Linked DNA regions of Neodiprion lecontei. The protein of the gene in region 2 binds, or shares a complex with, the protein of the main gene of each other region. Links are inferred from orthologs where the notes say so. Each region holds a gene or a part of one and is shown on either strand. Other genes may lie near its edges.

Evidence for each region. The genes of interacting proteins can lie anywhere in the genome.
Region 1: E3 SUMO-protein ligase RanBP2 (region 2) and nuclear pore complex protein Nup54 share a complex: the UniProt entries of both Drosophila melanogaster proteins name them as parts of the nuclear pore complex. The link is inferred for Neodiprion lecontei from reciprocal best matches to the Drosophila melanogaster genes Nup358 and Nup54.
Region 3: E3 SUMO-protein ligase RanBP2 (region 2) and nuclear pore complex protein Nup98-Nup96 share a complex: the UniProt entries of both Drosophila melanogaster proteins name them as parts of the nuclear pore complex. The link is inferred for Neodiprion lecontei from reciprocal best matches to the Drosophila melanogaster genes Nup358 and Nup98-96.

What each region holds. Positions count from the first base shown.
Region 1 is NC_060262.1:32,774,599-32,782,344, forward strand, and holds nuclear pore complex protein Nup54, read right to left. Parts: upstream 6,022-7,746; 5' UTR 5,812-6,021; coding exon 5,712-5,811; exon of another isoform or gene 5,386-5,711; coding exon of another isoform or gene 5,011-5,385; intron 4,479-5,010; coding exon of another isoform or gene 4,443-4,478; exon of another isoform or gene 4,322-4,442; intron 3,431-4,321; coding exon 2,972-3,430; intron 2,774-2,971; coding exon 1,866-2,773; intron 1,338-1,865; coding exon 1,110-1,337; intron 886-1,109; coding exon 763-885; 3' UTR 614-762; downstream 1-613. Other genes in the region: uncharacterized protein LOC107226633, read left to right, coding at 4,443-4,478, 5,011-5,385. UniProt on the Drosophila melanogaster protein: Component of the nuclear pore complex (NPC), a complex required for the trafficking across the nuclear envelope. Essential for the nuclear import of nuclear localization signal (NLS)-containing proteins in an importin alpha/importin beta-dependent manner.
Region 2 is NC_060263.1:26,801,415-26,806,390, forward strand, and holds the start of E3 SUMO-protein ligase RanBP2, read left to right. Parts: upstream 1-1,899; 5' UTR 1,900-2,043; coding exon 2,044-2,115; intron 2,116-3,406; coding exon 3,407-3,632; intron 3,633-3,792; coding exon 3,793-3,969; intron 3,970-4,311; coding exon 4,312-4,624; intron 4,625-4,859; coding exon 4,860-4,976. Other genes in the region: RNA pseudouridylate synthase domain-containing protein 1, read right to left, coding at 2-245, 338-448. UniProt on the Drosophila melanogaster protein: E3 SUMO-protein ligase. Component of the nuclear pore complex (NPC), a complex required for trafficking across the nuclear envelope.
Region 3 is NC_060263.1:23,590,501-23,595,466, reverse strand, and holds the start of nuclear pore complex protein Nup98-Nup96, read right to left. Parts: upstream 3,114-4,966; 5' UTR 2,919-3,113; intron 2,873-2,918; exon of another isoform or gene 2,722-2,872; intron 2,466-2,721; exon of another isoform or gene 2,368-2,465; intron 2,285-2,367; 5' UTR 2,244-2,284; coding exon 2,213-2,243; intron 1,432-2,212; coding exon 1,207-1,431; intron 986-1,206; coding exon 737-985; intron 660-736; coding exon 447-659; intron 1-446. UniProt on the Drosophila melanogaster protein: Part of the nuclear pore complex (NPC). Required for MAD import as part of the Nup107-160 complex and required for nuclear export of Moe probably via its association with Rae1. Plays a role in nuclear mRNA export.

The DNA.
Region 1 (7,746 bases), on a different chromosome or scaffold from region 2:
GGACTTCTGTCTGTGTGCGTGCATATTATGTAACATTACAATTCACCGTGGCGGTTTTCCTCATTTCGAAATGATTAGAGTTTCAATAGAATCGCTTCAACAGTTTCTGAAATGTATTGTAAATTCTGCTATTTCAAATAGCTGTAAATAGTCGCTTCATCATAGCTGTACACACACGTATATTCATATAAATGTGGCAGACTTTGATAAATGTCTTTTAAATTTTGATGAGTAACATTTTGATTTACGACATCAAAGTAGTCTGAATATGAACATGATACTTCATCATTGCAAGAAAAATTTTTATAAAGCGGGACGGTTTTGTCAGTCACGTACCCACTACAGTGTGATATATCAAAATGATAGTTGATATACCAACTTTTACACACATCGTACAAGGGATTTACGCTGATTCAATTATTCATCATCAACACACATCCGATACATTTATAAGGCGTGGAAAATATCCATTTATGAATTGGATGTGGTTATGTATGCGACGGTTCAATAAATGTGGCGAGTCTTTGCTTAAGCAATGAATTCACTTTCAAAACAGGGAGGGAAATTCACTGCTGACGGATGTCCGGCATTATTACGAATCAAGTACGGTAAATTACAGCAGTTTCAAAGAAGTTTATTACATAATTGTCCGTAATAGATAGAAAGCCACTTCCCCTCGTTTCCACCATCTCAACTTGGAAATTGCATGACCGGTGCATTTTTTTTCAAAAGACTTGACGATAATTAACGATACGCTGTATTTCAAGAGATGCTGTGACTCGTGAGGAGATCGGACATGCCATCCTTAATTATTTTCAGGCACTCCAGATCAGCGTTGATTGTAGAAATGAGTTGAGACATTCCTTGCTGTTCCATAGTTAAATACTGCAACGAAGGACAATACATATTAATTGATATTAGCGAATGTAAAGCAATGTAAGGATACACTTGTCTCGTACATCCTAAGCTGATACTGATCAGTTTTGTTAAAAACAAAAAATTAGTTTTAAATGTTGACCACAAAATTGACTCTGGTCTTGCAATTGTGATAACTTCATAATTAGGAAGAGTAAACTAAGTTTTGTACTAAAGATATGAAATATACTCACGGTTTTAATATCGTCTTGGGCAATAGGATCCATAGTATATCGTTCGTGGTTTTGAGAGTCCATATGCCGTCTCATTCTCAGTTGTGAAAGCATTTCACTGATTCTTCCCTTAAACTGTGTCGGAGCACTTATTTGCGAATGCATTGCTTCAAACCTATTTGTTAGCACTTCTTCTTCAGGTTGTAATGCTAACCCAACCTTGCGCGTTATTTCTTGACGAACCAGCACCTAGAAATTCATTTATGAAACGTATTATTACATTAAGTAAAGCAGTATGATGGTAAAAAAAATTTGACGAATCCAAATGAAATGGCCCAGTATACGGGGTAAGTAAAAAAAAATCGCACCAAATTTAGACGTGAATAAAATCCGAATGCATTGACTTTATTATGAAAATTTTCTTTTTTGCTTGAAATTAGGACAATAAACAATTTGTTTCGCGTTTGAAAATTTGAACTTCAAATCACAATTTAAGATGAAAATTAGGCTAAACATTCTTTAATAATAATTTTTTTTTATCCTCCCAGCGAATTTTGCAAAATCTGTTTTTCAAAATCGTGTATCTCAGCAAGGATGAAGATTTTCTAGATTTCCGAACACAAAACGAAAGGTTTATGTTTTTAATTTCGAGTAAAAAGAGTTTCGAAAATTGGTCGATGCGTTCGAAATTTATTCACGTTTTAACTCGGTCCGGTTTTTTTGGCCCACCCAGTGCGTAGAAGTAGAATGAAATAAAATTATCAAGATCCTCTTCACCTGTAAAACTCGGTGTTGCAGCTCGAGTAAATTTCGTCGATGTTCTTTCAATCTTGCTTGAGTTGCAGTGTGTTGTCTCTGTAAACTTTGAATTCTTTCTGCAGCCAAGTCTAGAAATGCTCTATGCTTGGCTGTTTCTTCTTCTTGGCATTTCAATCTATATTTAACTTGATTGAACCCAATCATTGGCACTGGAATATATTTCTCTGGGTTTGGATTATCTAATTGCGCTTGCTTCCATAATCTGGGATCAATAGACGACGGTGGGTTATCCAAATATTCCTTCAGTTGACTAGGGTCTAATTTAACCTGTGGAAAAATGTTTTCCACGCCCATTTGGGCCAGCTGTTGTTTTTGCATAGTCTGTGTAAAGAAACTAACTAACTCGTTTGCCGGAATTTTCCTAGACAATCCTGTCACACCTTTTTCAGATACGCAGATTGTCACGTGACTTTTATTGTCATCTGTCGATTTTATAGTATCAACAGTTAATGTTAAATTTGGTTTATTTCCGAGAATGGTGTTGAGTGATGTAATCAACGTCTGTTTTCCATCTTTTAATTCCTGTTCCTTTTTGTTGAAACAAATAACGACCAGTCCATCATTGTTATCTGCATCTGGCATACAGCTATAACCAATAGCTTTGAATCTACACAAAGGATTTTCTTGTGTCAAATCTATAGGAGGTGCCACCGACGAGTAGTAAGCTTTTCCAGTACCCCATAATGCTTGGATCAAGTTCCATCTTGCTATGGTATTATCACGTTCGTCATTAAAAAGTTGGCAGTTAAATACTGCATTATAAAGTGCTTCCGATATCGCATTCACAGATTGTTGCTGCGGTTGTTGCTGTTGCTGCTGTTGTTGCGGTTGGGTAAGAGTTGTTCCTAACCCAGTAAGACCAGAACCTGAAAAATAACGTCTTAGGTAAAATCATGTCTCTCATAGTGGTGAAGATATTTCAAGTACGGGCAATTAAAATATAATTATCTGTCCTTTCTCCTCTAGCGTTTGAATGCATTAAGATTGGATTAGTACAAGAGTTCCAGGGTGCTTGGAAAATATATTATTTCTAATATTTTTTCCAAATTCGGATTTCAGTTAACCTGTTCCAAAGCTGCTGAAGCCTGTTGTATTTATTGCAGCTGGCTTAGCACCAAATCCACCAAATCCTGTTGTGCCGAATCCTGTTGTTGTTGTGCCTGATGTGCTAAAGCCACCAAATAAGCTCGGTGCTGAAGATGTCGCCATGGTTGGGAACGAACCAAATCCACCGAAACCTGTTGAACTTGTAGTCGCAGTTGTCCCAAATCCACTGAATGCCGTAGATGAAGTTGCTGGCGTACCACCAAATCCTGCACCTGTCCCAAACCCGAAAGATGAACCTGGAGTGCCAAATGTTATCGTACTCGTGGCTGGTGTTCCAAATCCTCCGACTGTTGATGTACCAAAGCCACCGCTAGTTCCAAAGGCAGGTGCCTGTGTTGCAGGGGTACCAAATCCTCCAAGAGCTGGTGCTGATGTAGCCGGAGTGCCGAATCCAAACGATGGTGTACCAAAACCAGCTAAGATAATATAAATAAAATGAATTACTCTTCGAAGCAAACTTTTTTCAATTAAAAAACAAATTATTACTTGACTATATTTCTAAATTACAAGTGTGATAATTCTGCTGTCTCTTTTTACACATTATTCAATAGTTTGATGTGTTGGCGGGTGTGAGCGTATTGTATTATTTAATGGACTTGGTACAGAAATTAAATTCATAGTGAATAAATACCCCATTTCTTAAATCTTTCAAACTTGTCATGTAAGAATTTTAGCATTGTGCCCTAGTTGCAGATAATAAAATTATGTTCACTATTCGGAAATTGAATAGACCGGGTCTCATGTATATGCAAAAAGCAACTCATCTGAGGCAATGTAATATTCTGAAGTGTCAACCGCATCCTTGAACTTTTATTCCAGTGTATTATGAAAATTTCCGATTTACATCAGAGTTCAAAGATCAAATGTTCGCTATAAAGGCAATTGTACCAAGCCGTCAGATGTTTTCCCCAGAAATCATGGATGACGTGGTAATAAAAATCAGCGCTCGACAAAAGACAACCAGGTGTGTCTAACAATTTCAATATGTAGACAGATTTCTAGGGGAAATGTCAAAACGTGACCAAGTTTTTGATGTCAAGAAACATGAAATTAATTTTCTTCTGAAGTTCTATTTATCGAATTGTAATTCTGACTAGATTGATGAAGTATAATTCTTACACAATATTTGGTAAGACTGGTTTCCTATCTATTAAAATTATGTATCGCGAAAAATATAAAGTAGCACAAAAGACGAAGATTTGCCTACGATATAATGTTTCTTTCATCATTTCTACGTATCTCTGTGGTGGGAAAAACCGACCACGAACATCCGGTTAAATGTGACTTCAACAAGTTGTCGGAAGCTGATACTTTCCTTGTTCCAGCTTTGAGGGATTCTCGGCTGCTCAAGCATCAACAGGGTTTAATGACTATAAAGCTGTCAGTGAAGGTAAACGTAGTGTGACTATTTATTTTTCGCAAATCAAGATGAGCTTTTCCAAAAACGTAAAACACCAACGGCTGGTACGTATATCAATATTGTACTACTATTATCATGCTTTATAATCAACTAAGCTGATTCAAAATTTGGATACCATGTAGATTAACAATGTGTTTGTTGACTTTACAATACAATTAACATAAAATTACCTCAGTTTCTCATTCACCCATTGCAACGCAATAAGAATAATGGAAATACTTTACCATGCTTCCAATTCTAATCCAAAGCAACTAAATCATAACTCATACGATGAACACACCCATCCCTATCCACGCCAAGTGAGTACTAGTCCTGTTGACGAAGTTACGGAGTTTGAAAATGAACTGGGAACCACAGGGGAATCATTTGGAGTAATTTAAAGTTCCCTTTATACATATTCGATTACCGTCATTGTCAGAAATTCCGCACTCCTTGCTCATTGTAACTAACCAAAGTTGATGAAACACACATATATATACATAATAACTTGTGTGCAATACTGATGTGATGAAGATTTTTTGCTTTGTTCTCAGACTCAATATTACAATATTTGGTACTTTATTATTTTATTTCCAGGATACTATAGGCGATATGTCCACTATACTGCATGAACTATCTGAAAGCACCACGCCGATTGTTACTACTCAGACTACCACCACCATGCAATCCATTGCATCTGGTCAAAATGGATCTTCAGACGAATCGAGTCAAACGATATTGATAGTTTTGGGATTGCTCTTAGGAATTCTAGTGCTAGTATGCTGCGTTCTTGCCTGCATACTTGCCAGACTTAGGAGGAAAGGTTTTTGCACAGTGCAAGGTAGAAATCAAGAGACGTGCGACGAAGAGTGCCCAGGAGAAGATATGGATCTCGGACAATCAACAAAGAATTCAGAAGCATCAGTGAAACATATGAATTCTCGGTCGTCGGATCAATTGCTCAAGAAGTAACCTAACGCAATAGATGTTTCATACTCTGAGGATGATTTTATAGGTTGGAGATTATGACTGAGCTAGGATTTGGAATAAAAAATGTCATATTAACTAGAAAGAGCGGAGTGTCGTGGTCAATCTTTGGTAAAGCTTAAACTACCCAGACAATTCGATCGCTCTCTACTGCCTTAAACACATCGTAGTGCAATTCGTAAGAACGTAGATACTTTTTTCGTGCCGATCACATCAGCGAATTTAGAACTAATAAGTAAAATTTATTGTTATGAATTTGTAGTCATTTAGGTTATTGTTTGAAAATACACCAAGTTCTAGTTCATACTTACTCGGTTTCGCTGCTGTGGCTGTGCCTGAAGCTTGCGCCCCAAATCCAAAATTTGGTGTTGCTGAGGGGGTAGAAGTCCCAAATCCAGTACCAAAGGACATTTTGATAATTTGTTTATTTAAAGAATTAGTACAAATTAAGAAACATAACCCCAAATAACACTGGCTAATACACAGTCGGAAGTTCTATCATACAACACGCACACACGAAAGTGATATTCTATGTATTATTCGACCAGAAATAAACTCCCAGCTGTTAATTGGCCGTTCGATCAACTCTGTGATATGATTGGCTCGCAAAGCACGCTTGCGCTCTGTAATCGTTCGTCAGGTCTACGGCGTCGTTTTGTTATAATGAATATCCCCGAGCAATCGAACTGCTTACTCGTCAGTGACGTCACTTGCGCGCAATTTATTTGAATGATAGTAATCACGGTACTATACCTATATCATGTACAGATATTTGAAATTTGGATAAGATTGAACTATCAAACTCCGCTTTTACAGATTGATACCACTCTTGTATATGTTTATTTATGTATAACCAAGTATTTACACGCACCGTTGTCTGAAGACTTATAGTCTTCAGTCAACGCACGCACCTTGTACTACAATTATTAGACACTTTGTTAATAAATCATGACTTTTGTGCTTTTTTAAATTTGCGTTTTTCTCGACTAGTTACTAAATATATGACGAATTTATCTCACGTAATAGTAAGAATTATATTTTTTTGAAGCATCTTCCTATCGTTGGCTCTAATGATTTGAATTATGAATTGAAGAGTTACTCTCATTTCAATAGCATGATTTTACAGCAGGGAGGTTTTACAATATTTTCCATAATTAGAGAAGAATAACCACTTAATTTAATTCTAATGGAAAAAAATTTCTACTGTATTTGCGTAGTGTCCTATACATGAAATTTAATTTCAGGTTCTTGAAAGTAGACAAGGATATTTGTACATTTACTTTCTTTGTTTGCCATTATATGCTAATAAAATAATACTGACCCATCAAGCTCATAACTCGACTGTTGGACTTGTGTCACCAGGACCTGTGGAATTTACTAAAGTATGTCCGATTAAATAAAACGATTAAAAGATCCAATTAAATTATTTAAGGATGTATAGGCGTGTGAATCAAAATAGTGCTAGGTCAATGAAAATTATACAAATTGTTCTCACTTTTATTTTAAATGCCTAACTGTTTTCCATAAGAATCAGTGTAAGATCACGAAAAATTAAAAGTATAATAACTCCGGCATGATTTAGACAATAGCCTAAAATTTTAAACGGATATTCAAAATAAAAGTGAGAACAATTTGTACAAATTACGTCTTGCTTGATTTATAAATCGAAACATAACATGCACAATCGTTATTAGACAGTACCTCTCTCCTTATAGCGGAGGCTATAAGAAATATTGCGATTGCTGGAGAAAACGTCCTTATTTAATCTTTCTCCATCCATGGCTGGAACGTCACGTAATTATCCAGTTTTCCGAAAAAATTTTCTTGCACTCTTTGTTTGTCTTCCACTGTAGTTTCCTTCTTCTTTTATTTATATGGTTAATCTCCGTTCCCTTCTATAAATGGACTCGTGTCTGTGACAAATTTTCAATGATTCTATCAACGGCACCATAATGCTTATTGTGTAATTTGCGCAACCTAATGTTGGCAGAAAAATATAAGTTTAAGAAAAAATCGTAAGATACAGCACAGCATTATTGAATTATACTCGCTTTATTGACACATATTGTCTTATAAGAAAACGATCTGTTCGTCTAGTTCCGTGGGGTTGAAATATTCTTGTAGAATCTTTCCGAATACTTCTATTATAATTATATTGTTACCGAACGAAATAAACGTTCCAGTTATTTTTTGCGTACATCAGCAAATGAAGTAATTACCTCAGTTGTTTGCTCGAAATTGTACAGATTGCATTACAACAATAAAATGATATCGTAAAACAATATTTTCACAGAGTTTGTTATGTAACAGCCAACATTTATGTAATTCAATTTCATGTAGAAACAC
Region 2 (4,976 bases):
CCAATTGTTTCCGAAATGATAACATGACTTTTGTTTATATGTCCATGGACTAGAGCTAAATAGTATTTCTTTGCTTTTCTACTTTCAAAGGCAGTGGTGGCTGCTTTGGCAGCCTGCTTATTGAGAGCCAAGCAAATAACTCCGCTTGTAGCATAATCAAGTCGATGAACGAAATGAAATTCGTGCCGTAGCTCTGGATTGACCAGTTCAGGGAACATCATTTGTATTTCCGTTTGTAAGGTGGACTAAAAATTGTACAAATCTGTGAATAGACCGTAACCACGTTATATTTATTATCTGAATGTTATCCATTATATTTAATAATTAAATGAATTACTTTATAATTCCGGTTATTGCTGTTTATAACCAAATCATATGGCTTATTTACTACTAAGAAATTATTACTGCGATATAAAACGTCTAAGGTATTATTTTCGTTCCCTTCCATTCTACCTATATGAATGTACAAGTTTCTCAAAAATTTCCGTTACCACACTACAAGTTAAGGCTTCGTATTTTTAATTTTAAAGCGCTGTTTTAACAATTCTTTGCTTTGGTTATAACCACAAGTTTCTCTAACCGTCCTAGCCTCAACTGGAAACTGTCACAAACGAAAGATTGGGTCAATTTTGTGCAACTGAAATTTTAACCGATTAAATAATCGTTGGTCAAGTTTATTGCAGAAAACACAGAACATAAAAATACATTCGTTTCAAATATAGAATGATCCGTTTGATCAGAACATTTATAAAATCGACACTCGATTCAGTTTGTAGAATAAGCTGCCGTTACTAACCAGAAACGGTTGCCTCCTAGGTATGAATGCTCTATGCCTGGGTCTGGCGGAGCACAATAATAAATTAAAAACTATAGATCTAAATCTAATAACACAATAGATTTTGCTTCATTTACTTTTATTACATTTATTGTCGTACATGTAGTAGATCTAGAAACCTAAGTGACGGTACGGAACGTATATCACGAGGGTCACGATTAGAAATTATCTTCATTGTAATATGTCAGACGACTTCAGTCATAATAAATACACTACGTATGAAAAATTTCAAGGTTTAAATGATCTCTCAAATGAAAAATAGATTTGCAAATGCCAGTTGAACACTTTTGGCCTTCAGTTTAGGCTTATGTTCAGACCAACACGTTAAAAATACTTCCATCATGCGTGAAAATTTGGGGTTAGTAAGTTGTGCAAAAAAAAAATAAAAAAATTATCGAATAAGAAATTGAATGCACATTACGTGACTTTATGCCGACTGGATACCTTCGCCACACCACGCTTTACGCAGTCGTACAAAGAATCGCGTGTGCATGTGTCGTAAGGCAATTTGAGGGATTTTTTTTATCCGGAACCGGCAGGAATCGGTCACTGAGCACTCGACAAAGTATGCGGGAATTGCGCACAAATTTGAGCAGGATAACCACCACTGATCTCTATATGACACTATAGAGATCAGTGATAGCCACCGTTCGAGCATAGTGAACAAGGCGTTCGAGTAAATTCGAGCGTGGTCGAGCAGCTAAACTGCAACCTTTGAAGCAGAGGACCCAATAATCTCTGGACGACCACACAGCGACGTAAACAAACGACGGTAGTGCGGCGTTGCCACGTCTTGCGTGACTTTAAAACCAGAATGAAATCAATATTTAATACTTATTTTTAATAATCGAAACAACCAAAAAAATTAGTGCAAAATGTAATTCTAAATTGATTGTACATCTTATCATTATTTGTGATCTATATAAGGATGGTTTTGAATATGTTTTTTATGCCTGTTTCTCGCTTGACCTACTCTACGCCGTTGTCTATGCTATAGCCGACGGAAACCTGGTTACTGTGTTTCCTGTGCTGTAAGCACGGACTCGGCTGTAAGCTTGATTTTAGAGTTGGTTGGTACAACTGTCGTAAAGAAGTTCGTTTGAATAGTGATGTCCACGGTGAGGCGGCGGTGGTTCGTCTTAACGATATTTTTCATCCTTTAACTGTGCGGCAAGAACAGCAAAAGGAATTCGAAATATTGTGGAATCATGTTCCACGATAAGAAGAGCGTTGATCGCCACGTGCAAGATATTTTACGAAAGCTGAAGACGGAAAATGAGGTAGGAGGTTATTCTCGTATGAAAACGTTACGCGGTGTATGATGAGTACCACCGAGTCACCGTACATGCACATGCAAATGTCGATCGTCCCGCCAGAAGTGATCCCTGCATTTCGATCTAATTCCTGTATCAATTCTACCGAACCACATCATCTTCTCATGCCAGCTTATGATCTAGCTATTTTCAATTTATTTTTAGTCATCGACTTGCACAATGTCGCATATTTATATATTATTATTCATTCCAAGGCCTTAAGTACTGGCTCGGAAGCTCTGTAGATATAACACGCACTCACACTTATCTACACATAACCTGTTATCCACACATAATATGATTTGCATCTCTCATGCCATTCCAGAACCGGGCTAACCAATGTTTTGCGGTTTCCTGATTATTCTTGGACAATCCATCGCACGCTGGATTGTTATTACTTCATTATCTCTTTGTTCATCATTGACTTTTTTATCCAATAAGAGACAATTGCCAATGTACTCTTCAAAAAGCTTCTACCTTCAAATATATATAATACATGTATCTTAAATTACCTTATCGTTCGGAGTCTAAGCCCACCCCGCATATAAGACGACCCCCAATTCCGAGACAGTATTTCAGGGTGTTTGCCTTGCTTACCCGCATATGAGACGAGTCCGCGTAGAAGACGAATGATTTCGGTTGGGGCTGTCAACGACAAAAAAACCTTGGTCTATATTTCCCTTGGATAAAATTAAAAAAAAAAACAGTTTGGGTGTAAATTCATACCCGTAACTAATAAATAATATTAAATTGCCATAAGAAAAAAGTTAACGGTGCAAATTTACACTCAAGTGGAAGGTTTTTTCCTAGAGGGTTGTAAAGACATCATATTTTCTGCTGGCCTTCTTAACCTTTTACTCAACTTGAGGTATTAGTAGTGTTAACTTGTATATAAAATTTAAAAATGAAGAGCTTTATTAAAATGAATTATCATACTTATGGCTATCTAAAACCACAACACAGTCTTTAAACCTAGGAATTAAGTTGTTTGAAATGGCTGCTAAGGTGGTTAGGATACAATTTTTGATCAGGAAAATTCTTTTACACTTTTTAAGCTTATAATTCCAGATAATTTATCGTCGTTTTTATTTAACTCAAACATATCTTTAAAGTCGTATTTTTTACTTTATTTAAAATAAAAGTTAGAGCATCATTATAAAAACTTGCTGACCACCCCTAGGTTTCCTTCACCCAACTCTTACGAGTTTAGGTTTTAGAGTTCATTATCTCCAAGGTAAAAATTTAATATAAATTACAGAGGAACCTGAGATGTTACAATATTGCTAAACTTTATTACCAAGTTGGTGATTACGAATCCGCAAGGAGATACGTGTCATGTTACCTAGAAGTGCGAGAAGATTCAGCTAACGCACATAAACTACTAGGTCAAACCCTCGAGGCTCTTGGTCAGAAAGAAGCTGCGTTAGCAAAATACAAGTGCTCCCTTGAAATTGATGGCAAACAAGACGATCTAGTCTTGAAAGGTGGGTTAATCTGTTTCACTCACCAAAAAAGAATAGCTGTAGTTTTAGGACTAGAAATTTTTCTGCTCGAAATTAATTTAACTATAGGTTTATTGCTATAAATAATATTTCTGACATCATTTGTATTTAGCTTAATGTACATGTTCGTTTTATGAAACAGTTTGTGAGATTCTGGCAGACACAGACGTAGGGATGGATGTCAGCAGAGCCAGATATTGGTTGGAAAGAGCAGACAAACAGTTCCCGCATCATCCTGTCGTATTTCAGCTGAAAGAAAAACTACTAACTGTAGATAGACCAAATGATAATGCCGAAGATCTTGAAGCACTTATAGCATGTAAGTTTATTGTATAAATTGTAATTATGTGAATCCTACTACTAAGATTCCATTTAATTCATTTTTCTTTGCTGTAGGAATGTCTTAAAATTTCGAAAATTGCGTACTTCTTACTAAGTCTGTCCTATAAATTTTCACACAAACTAGTTGTATGTGCTATTACAAGTATTTGAAATTAAGGTTTTTGCATTGAATCATTTTTTTACAATGAATCAAGTCACTAGTATAGTTTTAATTGAAATGTCTGCAATGGAAAGTTATTATGATTCACAATAACAATTCCAGTTCACTGCTTAAAAGCCTGTTTTTCGCAATTCTCAACATTGTGAATTATTTTTCCAGCTGAATTGTCAGCCAGACCAAAAGATGTAACATTGCGTGTCAAATTATTGCACCATTACATGGTGAAAAATAGACTCGAGGATGGATACAAACATGCCATGGGTGTGGAATCAACCTTTACCTTTAGGGATAATATCTCATGGTATCAAACAATTTGTGAATTGTTTGGAAAGTGCAAAGACAGCAAGTCTTCTGATTGGACTTTCTGGATGCTATACATTTCAGCTCTTGAAAGATTTGCCGCTCTGTCTCTTAAAGAGCAGGGTGATGGACCAAAAAAATCTATCCCCGAAGTTGCACAGGCAATATTGAAGTGAGTAAAGTGAGAAAGTGGTAACTAAAGAATTAGCAAATAGTAATTAAAAGACCTTACTATGTAATTAAACTCTTTAGTATCTTAATATTAGTTATAAAGTACACAAAATCGAGAACTTCAAGTGCGTCTGAAATTTTTAGGTTTTATCAGCAGTTCAATGCATTCAAGTATTCAGAAGTTATCCATTTTCAGTTTACACACATCTATAAGATACTTTTGTGTATAATTTTAGTTTCGACCAAAACCTGACAGAAGCAGAGCATCATAAGAAACTTTCAAACGATCCCACTTTTGCTGAACATATGTTTGCGCACATGTGGGGCCAATTACACTTGCATTTAGCATGTCT
Region 3 (4,966 bases), about 3.2 Mb from region 2:
ACCAGGCTTCACTGTAATCAAAATCCTAAATAAATCGTGAAATGTATTGAAAGATGTCAATATTCTAGTTTCCGAAAATCTTAGTATTATTACTATTTACTATTTTTTTTTGGGATTTATATTTCTCAAAGAGGAATGTTCATCTTTACTTCAACTCCAATTTTGATGGGAAGTACGAAGCCTGTGTAGCTAATCTTTTACAGAATCTTCAGTATTTTTTCTCAGTATATGCTCAGATACAGCTGGATTCTGTTGCTCAATCTCATATATGTGCGTGTGAAATTTGTTTTTTGGCTGTCTAGCCACAGAAGAATTGAAAAATAAAGTACAAGTCCGTATTTCGAAAAATTTTCGGCCATATATCACCTAAAGTTACTGAAGAGTTACTGAAAAGTTGTTGTCAACATTGCCGTTTGCCAAAGTTTATACGAGGATGAAAAGCTTACCTTGAACTTGTCCCTTACGACCTGCTGTGTAGTCTTCTAAACGCAATTCCTCCAGAGATTTTCCTTCGTATTCCTTCATGCAAGTAATGCAATAGTGTCGAGTTGATATGGTTTGGGTAACGCCATTTTTTATCATTGTATCAGTACCAGTAAGAGGGTTAAATTTCACCACTGTACCACTCATCCCACCTGCAGTATTATTTCCAGCAAATCCTGTACAATGAAATATGATTGACAAGATTTGATGAATACCTAAATGAAATACTTTCATCAGCATCGGGTTAATTTACCAGTTGTAGCTCCAAATAAGCTGGTATTTGCAGCTGTATTGGATGGTGCAAAAAGGGACGGTGCAGTTTGTTGAGTAGGTTGCTGTGTTTGTCCAAATAATCCTGTTCCAGCTGAACTCCCAAAGCCAAACCCTGCTGGTTTAGTTCCTTGACCAAAAGCAGGGGTAGGATTGCTTGTTCCAAATAGACTGGTGTTTGCATTTTGCTGATTACCAAAGAGACCGGTGTTCGTATTTGGGTTACTGAATCCTGAAATTATGCACGATTGGATAATTTTCATTTATAATACGTAATCATATAATATTAAGTAAATTTGAAACTTCTTGTCTATTTTTTTTATCATAGCAGAAATATATGACAGATATCATATTGTAAACAGTTTCGCTAGAACTACGTTTATAACAATACAGAGTTCTTAATCATATAAAGTAAACAGAATTGATAATAGACGATTCATTTTGAGAAATTACCTCCAAATGATGACTGACTGGTGGCTGGTTGTCCAAAAGCAGGTGTTGCTGCCGTATTGCCAAATAGTCCGCCTGTCGTCGCTCCCGCAGGCTTTGCGCCGAACAGAGAATTGTTGGTACTGCCGAACACTGGTGCTGCTGTACCACCAAAACTCGTTGTTGTGATGGGTTTTCCAAATGGAGATTGACTAAATGGGCTACTCTGGGTCCCTGCACCAAACCCTCCTATATTTATTAATTTTTAAGTACAAAGGTACCAGCTCACCATTAACAGACATCAAATTATAGCATAACGTTTTATGCAGGCATCAATGAACAGAATACCATGTTTAGAATAAAATTGAAGCATGAAATTTCGATTGTTAAAACAACTATTTCTTATCAATAAGTGACAATTAATACAGCACAGACGTTCTTTATGTTGGGACGTGCAGGGCTGGTAGTTGGCCACTACTTTCACAGACTGACTCTGGCGGCAAGGGATTCAGTGTAAGTTTGCTCTAATGAAAAAATGGTTACTACGGCTTTCGTGTGGTAATTATTTGAAAAAATTGAAATTTTATTTTTATTATCACCTAACTCAACTGTTCAGGTATAATTAAGTGATAGATATATTGTCCGAGCATTGGATCAAGCATGACATGAGTTCTTACATTGTGGTAAAGAAAATATGATTGTGTTGTTTGACTGCGGTTTCATTAGGACAATTTTCATGTAATAACGTTTCAAAGAACGTTTTGCTTTGAAATTACTGACGTAAATTAAACTCATGCAAATTACATTATTGTAGTTCCAGAGCGTATCACATAATTTCAACTAAATAAAGGGAGTTATTCAAGTAACCACTTTATATTTAAGGAGAGTAACAACAACTGATTAGATCAGACTCAGTTCAAGCGAGAACAGGATAATGGATGGGTTTAAAATAAAATTAATTTAGTATTTCGTTAAAGGCACCCAATGCATTAATAAGCAGATAAGGAACAAAAAATTTATTGGTACTTACCAAATGAAGTATTAGCAGATTGTCCAAACATTTTTAATGACCGTATTTAGCACAAGGACTATCCGCAGCTTTCTAAAATGTTCAAAATTATGGCATCAATCATCAAATAAAGAAATGTATAAGTGTAAAAGGTAAATATAATTCCGAATACTTGCAACTAATATAAATGACCGTGATCATCTGATTGTTACCGCAGTAGTGACACTCATTGATATTTGTGATAAATAAAGATGCCTGGTAATTCTTCAAAATACTTGTAAGAGAAGAGATTATTTATTTCCTGATCTATTAATTCATTACGATACATACGTATTAGAAATGTTGATAAAATATGATGGTTATAAATTATTGCCAACACGTGAAATATCATCAATCAGCACTCGTGAGCCAACGATATATATACCTATATATGTATATAGAGAAAAAATATCAACGAAAAAGAATTTTGCAGTGATTGTATGCCTGTGAGTGATTCGCAAGTAGATAGCTGCATCACACTTATTACATACCTCCGACCCCGCCAACATTTACGAACAATCCTTGTTTACAAAACACATGGAAGCCGTACGTGTTCGTCATTTAATGGAAAAGACGGATAACATATTGAAAATGATGAATCTTATTCAATAGCATACAAACAATTCAGGTTATGTTAGATGCAGAAATGGCGCAATTAGAGATGTGACGAATATTTTCATTTACTTACTGCTCTGACGTATCGCACCTTGCTAATTACTCGCAATAATTACCAAAACTTAACTACTCACTAATAGAACACGGTTTGCAATAAGCACACCGCCACAATACAGAAAATCGCATTAATCACCGATTTTCCAATACTGCAGGCATGTGTTGTTACGGGATCTGCGGTGGCCTGCGTTGCGGGTGTCTGTCTATTAAGGCGGAGTCTCATTGTAACGATATGTTTACGAGACGGCGATACGGAGTCCTATCATTGGCTCCATGCGACGTCATTTTGTGAGTTATATTTATAATTTCCCCACTTCGTTACGTGAGACATCGGCAGAGGTATAAGCAACAGTGCAGTTTCTTTATCTCTCAATTGGCGAAGTAGACAATTTGCAATCGTTCCCCAGCAAAGGCTAAATTGCTCTCGCTTGCTCTAGAGTGGTAGGCTCTTCAGGGTAGAGTTAAAAGACATTCCCGCTCTATATTTGTCATTCATGTAGGTTGGGGCAGAGGGGTTGTTTACGTTCCGAAAGCATTGTTTTTCTTATGACCGCTGTGGATTTTTTTGTCTTGGATTTATTGTACAGCAACAATCCAAATTCAGCACCATCGGTTGCCATTAAAATCAGTCTAATTTAGCACCGAAAATTTTAAACAAGCAATAACTTGAGATGTTTTTCAGCGTATGCACATACATTTACAGGTATAATATTTGGGAGTGGAATGTGTAAAGAGTACATGTTCAATTAAAAGCCAATAGAATGTTATTTTAAACATTTTTTATTCAAAATATGATTACAATTGAAATAAGCACTTCAAAATGAGATATTTGAAATGGTCTCCTTACTTCAACCTTCGCTGTAAAATTATCAATTTTTTTCCCTTACATTACTGCAAACGTTAAACTATGTCTACCATACTCAAAGATATAACTAACTAAATTGTAACGTTATTAAATGAAGAACATTCTCACAGGGATGAATAAAGAGCGATGTAATAATGTATACATATTGTCAATGTGCTCTAAAGGCTTGTTAGATATATCCTTTGACGATCCAATTTTTTTTTTTAATCTTTGTCAAAAACTAGGTGGCAATAAGTGCATCCTCATATTTCGTTATTGTTGTGCTTATTTTAAAGATACACATGTTAGTGTCAATACCCATTCGAGTAATGTCATAACACTTCAACGAAAACTCTGACAGATAAATAGTAAATCGTGAAGTTTGCGGGACAACAATCAGATTTGGGATATTTTATTTCGTTTGGTCAAAGTACCGTTGCCTGATATGTAATTATTCAGGCTATACAGTTCATTAAGAACAATTGAAGAAACCGTTATACCATGTTACTATCGACTCTTTCTTCCTTGTATTTCTTTACAAACTAAAGTATCTTGTCAATAAGGAATATTCAATGAGGAGATACAGTAAGCATGGCATCTTTACCAAAAAAACGCATTCAATTCTGCTAATAATGAAGTAAAATGTAATTAATTAGGAAACATGATCATGAGATATGTACTGCATTGTTTGAAGTTAGTAATCTAACTTCTAGCTGCTTGACAAAAATAATGCAAATCAAAAATGTAACTTTCAAAAAATGACCATGAATTTATGTTTGCATTAAACTTGTGAACTTGGAGTCTTCGCGTCATGAAATAACACACTTATGACACAAAAGCGTAAGAGAACATGATTAACAGCCCAGAATGATAAAAAAATTCGATATCAATACCATACATATCTAGAGAACGTTTGTTGTTACAAAAAACCTAATTAATTTCTGCAAATTTTTTATACTTGGTTGCTATTATTATTTAGATAGAAGTGTATTTATAAGTCGATTCAATAATACATCAGATAACTGAACCTGTGAAATATTTCATGTATTGAGGTGTGAATGGCAAAACGCGAAGAATAAATACTAACAGTGCTTTTAGAATAAGAAACCGCTGGCTTAAAGGGTTAAATTAAGTAAGGTTTTGATTTCTGAACACGAGAATCAACTAGTGCAATAAACGAATTACATATGCCATAAAAATACTCTGTTTGCATAGTTCGA